2 linked regions of the Tribolium castaneum genome follow. The protein of the gene in region 2 binds, or shares a complex with, the protein of the main gene of each other region. Links are inferred from orthologs where the notes say so. Each region holds a gene or a part of one and is shown on either strand. Other genes may lie near its edges.

Region 1 (2,628 bases), on a different chromosome or scaffold from region 2:
TTAAATCAGCGGACCTATGGTATGATTTTTGCGTGAAAATGATTGGATTTTCTTTACGAATTCATGGTTTTTGGGCGCGAGGAACGTTAACCGTTAACCCCATGTCCCACGTCAGTTGTGTTTTGTGGACGGCGTGGAGTGGAATTCAAAAAACAATAAAAAATCGGACGAATATCCGATTTTTGATTGCTTATTGTTGACGCAAAAATACTAATTATGCTTATTGAAGGTGACATTGATTCCGTTGTTGTCACGAGTATGTGTTTATATTAAAAGGAACGCTTTGGCACCAATTCAAATGTTTTTTGGAAAGCGTGATTATTATTTGTTGTGTGACAAGTTCTTTTTCGAGGTTTTCAATGAAGACGCCACTAATTTATAGACTCGTTAGCGTTGTATGTATGATAATTAGCGAAGGTCAGATGGATGGGGTGTATGGATTGGCTTGTAATCTCTATTTCCGTCCTGAATTCTTGCTAATTGAGATTGTTTTTGTTGCAGTACCTTGGTGAGACAGTGCTCGCATACATGGAGTTCCATTTGGATAGCGCAGAATATTGCCAGGCTCAACACAAATAAATTAACAGGAAATTAAAAAAGATTATATAAACATTGAATTTAGTCATTTGCATCATCGCCATAGCATTGTTGGAATTACCTCAACAAGAGCCAAATAAGAGTTGGTAATTTGCGATGAATTAAAGTTCAGTTAAAAATAACGATTTATTTATTTTAGTTATCTTCCCTACAATCTACTATATTTGCATAAGCATATCATCAAGTATAAAAATAGTGTACATAACTCAAAAGTTCTAGGCAAATTAATCCTATGTTAATTTATTTGAAAGACTGAAATATTGCTTTAAACTCCCGATATATAGTTTAAAGTATAATTTTGTGGAAATTCTTTTTATAACTATACACTTTTGGCCCATAATAGAGGAGATAGCTTATTTGATCTCCAAGAGTGATACTCTGATATTCTAAACACATTTAGTGTTACTTGAAAGTGTCTTGTTGTGGAATGAACAGTACAGCCATGCGTCAGAAAGACATAAGACCTGCCGCAGCTGAGATCGAGCACAAAGGATTCAAGTTTCTTATCACGGACAGACCTTCCGACCAAACAATTCATGTTTACATCCAGGTCAGCTCGCACCAAATTTAACCAAAAATCACTTTTTACTTACGCAGGAACTGAAAAAGCACAGAGTTACAGCGGTAGTCAGGGTATGCCAACCTTCCTATAAAGTCGACGAACTCGAGAACGAAGGCATCGAAGTTTACGATCTCTCCTATCCTGACGGAACCTTTCCACCCAACGAAATCGTCGATGCGTGGTTCAAGATTTTGAAGAAGCACTTTCATGACAATCCTAATGCTTGTGTAGCCGTTCACTGTATAGCTGGCTTAGGAAGGGCTCCGGTAATGGTCGCTTTAGCTCTCATAGAATTAGGTCTCAAATATGAAGAAGCAGTCGAGCTGATTCGAGAGTATGTCGTCATTTTTTTTTTTTTTGTCACGTTTATTTGGTTTTTGTTACAGAAAAAGGCGAGGTGCAATTAATGCCAAGCAATTAGGTTTCCTTGAGAAATACCGTCCTAAATCTCGGCTGAAATTGAAGAACGGACACAAAAACTCATGCTGCGTGCAGTAAACTGTCATTACATATATGTGTTCAATAAAATTGCAACAGATCACTTAACTCATCATACCTATTATCTCTAATTGTGTGAAATACAAAAATATGCTTATTTTGTGTAAACATTCGTTTGGCCGATCGCGCAGTAGGCAATTCAACTTTTAACATAACTGTGTATATATGGTTATTTATTTAAGTGACTGTGTTTTCCAAATTTTACCATTGACGAGTACATGCTAGTTCTTTGTAACCATTTTCAAGCGTTATTTATTTTAAAGTAGGTTTGATTTTATTGACAGCTTTTTAACGACGATTTTCTTTTGATTGTCCTGCATTATTTTTCGTCTGTAATTACATTGCAACCATGTTGATCACTTAGATTTCACATTTTTAAGTAGACTTTCTGGAAAAATATATTTTATTATTATGGGTACACAGCGTCTCATTTCAAAACCCGTCCTTAGGAAGAATACATTTTTATTGAACTTTCAATACAAGAACACGAACGAAAAAACAAAATAAATAAACGAAACGAATTAACAACCAGGCATTGGACAGACTAGATCCACTTTAGCATTGGCAATTTTTTGTTTGACTAAATAACCGCCAATGATTTCGGCCACTTGGTGGGGCTGGTCCTCGTGAATAGCATGTCCCGACTTTGACAGCACTTGCAACTGAAACTTGCCTAAAACAGAAATTAAAAACCGAAACAAGGTCACGCGTTTACCTTGCATTTGTCCCACAGTTAGGGCGGTATCAAGGCCATGGATATTAGCAAGCAAAAGTAATTTCGGAATGCGTAAATCGAGAAATTTTTGCGACAACCCTTTAAACCAACCAGTCCAAAACCGCTCAGTTTTACTTAAATCAATCCTCCAGGTGTACTTAGGGCCGTCCTCGCCGCTCCCAGGCTCGGTCTTTGCCGATTTAGGCAGCGGCGGCTTCCCGCAATCGGAACAATTGCTCTCGTCATCCTCCTCAAT
Region 2 (3,012 bases):
GCCTAAATGTGTGGTTTCTAGCCAACCTAAAAATGAAAATTTCAAGAAAAAACCTGCGGCGGAATATCGATCTTGAAGTCGCGTGCATGCGAATGCACAATAAAGAAATAAATTTAAATTACATGCTAATTGCGCTATTTTTTCCTGTGATAAGTCATATCTATTTTAAGTACATTATTACTCGGTTTCTTTGAACGGCTTAGCACCTCTCTGATTAATAAACCGGTAACTTGAGATAAGCCGAGTGTCAATAAATTTTCAGGTCACAACCGGCGAAAATGACTTGGACAAAGACGAAGTGAACATAATCAGCGGTGCTCTCGAGCTCCGCAAGAAAACCGTCGCCGACGTAATGACCAAAATCGAAGACGTGTTCATGTTGGACTACGACAACACGATCTTAGATTTTGAGACAGTGTCGGAAATTATGAAATCAGGTTCAGTAAACTTAATCGTAAAAGAAACGGCTAAATTGCGACTTTAGGTTACTCTCGAGTTCCCGTCTTCGAAGGCAACCGTCAGAACATCGTAACGATGCTTTACATTAAGGATTTGGCGTTCGTCGATCCCGACGACAACACGCCGTTAAAAACCCTGTGTCAATTCTATCAAAATCCGTGCAATTTCGTCTTCGAGGACGTTACACTTGACGTCATGTTTCGCATATTCAAGGAAGGCAATAAGGGACATATGGCGTTCGTCCATCGAGTCAATAACGAGGGCGAAGGTGATCCGTTTTATGAAACAATTGGATTGATAACACTGGAGGATGTGATCGAGGAGCTGATCCAGGCTGAGATCATGGACGAGACGGATGTTTTCAGTAAGTAAGACATGTGGTGGTGAAATTTTGCATTAATAATTAACAGCCGACAATCGAACGAAACGGAGGAGAAACGCCGAAAGGAGGCAAGACTTTAGCGTCTTTGCCGAACGTAAAGGCGAGCCCAGTAAAATACGAATCAGCCCACAGTTGACTCTCGCAGCGTATCAGTTTTTGAGCACTGGTAAGTAACAATATTGTTAGGGCAAACAGTGAGTTGTTTGATTCAGCCGTTGAACTTTTCCTCCCGACTGTAATATCTGAGACGATTTTAAAACGTCTCTTGCGCCAAGACATCATCTACCACATTAAAAAAAACAAAGAGTGGCGCACTGACCCAGCTAATGTCATTTACCAACAAGGGAAGAATGCGGATTATTTCGTCCTGATCCTCGAAGGCCGGGTCGAGGTGACTATAGGTAAAGAGAATTTGACCTTTGAGGGTGGGCCTTTCACATTTTTCGGCACTCAAGCCCTCGTCCAAACGATCGGAGTTGGTAACGAACCTCGTCGAGTGTGCTGCAAAATTCTACAAATGTTTTTTTCAGCCGAGAGTCCTTCGGCGCCCACTTCGACGCTGGGCAGTTTAGAGTCGCTGAATTTGGACGCCTTGCTGCGTCACACTTTCCAGCCAGACTACACGGTTCGGGCCTCCAATGAGGTGATTTATCTTCGTATAAAGCGCAGTCTGTACTTGGCAGCCAAAAGAGCGACTTTGATGGAGCGGTCTCAGCGCGACTTGCAGCAGAGCAACGATCAGTTTGACGAGGAAGTTGATAAGGTTCGGGTTTGTGTGTTTGAGGCTTGGCTAACTGAAGTTGCAGCTTCTGCACTCGCTGGAGGAGGATGACACGGAGAGTGCCGGCCGACGGACGCCGCGGAAACAGTCGTCGAAGAATCTGCATCACAATCAGGAGGCGAATTTGAGTCCCAAAACACCGTCGATTTATTCGAACGTTAGTCCGCCGCATCGGTTGAGTCACGATATCAACGGGTCGATTATTGCGAGTCCTGTGGAGGACTGCCATAATGCGAGAGAGGAGGAGGTTTCGCTTTTGGCGAAAAAATCATAACATAGACACTTTGGCTCTGGTCGAGAGTCACGATTGTACTTAATTTATTTGTTAAAGATTAGTTTAGGGTGATAACAATTCCGTACCTTATAACATCGTGTAGGTGCATATTTATTGAAATTTTATCGTTAGAAATTGTTGAAATTATCCAAGTTGATACGTAAATAGTGACAATTTTATCAAAATGGTTTTATTTTTAGTTTGACAAAAACTAGCCTGATTCCTTAGTAGAGTAATAGGCGGGACAACGTCGCCACATTGCCCATTATTTTTATATTACTATTTATTAAAATCAAGTGTCACAATTTATACTGTGAAGCAATCGCTGTGTTTATTTTATTTTTGTTGATCTTTATTTTTAGAATTAAATTACGAAGTGTACAATTCTAACAATCAATACCTCTGCTAGTAGTACTTAGCGTTGTAAACTCTACTTAAGCCAAGTAACTTAGGTTTTTGTCAATTTTTGAAACTTGTTTTCAATTTAAAGTGTCAAATTTTATGTTTCCTGTTTTTTTTATTTTACTTTTGTTTTGTTACTTGAATAAATGATAAGATTAACGAATGTGTTTCATTTCCCGCGTTCTGGAAATTTCAAATGCTAGTCGGTAGAGCAGTTCCCTATAAAATTTAAATTTGCAAATAAACACAACTTCGATTACATCAATCAAATATGTAGTTAACGCTCGTGCTATTTTGGTCAATAAATTTATTTAAAGTTGTGTACAAAGCAATTTTCTTTATAAATTTCCAGTAAAAATTAAAATTGCTCAGTCGATAAATCTGTTCCCTGTAAACATATGTCAGGCCGAGCAGAAAATGACAAGTGTGTGTTATCTGCCAAGCACAGGAAAAACAACAAATAAAATTTTTCGTGTTCCGAGTTAAATCCACGTTGAACGATTTTTTATTTGTTATGTAACAGGTATGTTGTTGTTGTTTTTCGCCCAGCTCGGCCCAATTCATTGATGTTTCTGAACAGATAACGCGGTGTTCAACGACTGAAACCTTCTAGTTGGGGCTCCGCACAATGGAGAACTTATCAAATATTGAACTGGAATGGATCGACCAGACTAACAACAGCTGGTCGCTAAAAGACTGTGATAGTATAGCCAA

What was found. The genes of interacting proteins can lie anywhere in the genome.
Region 1: the proteins of unextended protein (region 2) and PRL-1 are in contact, whole or in part, in a crystal structure (PDB 8CT8), measured with the Drosophila melanogaster proteins. The link is inferred for Tribolium castaneum from reciprocal best matches to the Drosophila melanogaster genes uex and PRL-1. Residues at the interface, in NP_001104390.2 of Drosophila melanogaster: Leu391, Val422, Thr423, Lys442, Cys445, Glu446, Gln449, Asn450, Pro451, Phe454, Phe456, Asp458, His480, Val482, Asn484, Gly488, Asp489, Pro490, Phe491, Tyr492; in NP_001260487.1 of Drosophila melanogaster: Asp32, Ile33, Thr34, Ile35, Asn36, His37, Asp77, Gly78, Cys109, Ala111, Leu113, Gly114, Arg115, Arg142, Arg143, Gly144, Ile146, Asn147, Gln150.

The regions. Positions count from the first base shown.
Region 1 is NC_087403.1:7,974,937-7,977,564, forward strand, and holds the end of PRL-1 (PRL-1 phosphatase), read left to right. Parts: exon of another isoform or gene 1-19; intron 20-501; 5' UTR 502-679; exon of another isoform or gene 680-683; intron 684-736; 5' UTR 737-1,024; coding exon 1,025-1,147; intron 1,148-1,194; coding exon 1,195-1,493; intron 1,494-1,545; coding exon 1,546-1,657; 3' UTR 1,658-2,075; downstream 2,076-2,628. Other genes in the region: protein phosphatase methylesterase 1, read right to left, coding at 2,179-2,330, 2,373-2,628. UniProt on the Drosophila melanogaster protein: Probable phosphatase. Inhibits growth possibly by negatively regulating Src64B-induced growth. Regulates central nervous system circuit formation and stabilization of synapse-dense terminal arbors.
Region 2 is NC_087397.1:6,213,482-6,216,493, reverse strand, and holds the end of unextended protein, read left to right. Parts: intron 1-262; coding exon 263-437; intron 438-484; coding exon 485-823; intron 824-869; coding exon 870-1,007; intron 1,008-1,053; coding exon 1,054-1,320; intron 1,321-1,371; coding exon 1,372-1,604; intron 1,605-1,647; coding exon 1,648-1,896; 3' UTR 1,897-2,457; downstream 2,458-3,012. Other genes in the region: probable E3 ubiquitin-protein ligase HERC1, read left to right, coding at 2,927-3,012. UniProt on the Drosophila melanogaster protein: Probable metal transporter. Acts downstream of PRL-1 and protects the nervous system against olfactory carbon dioxide stimulation.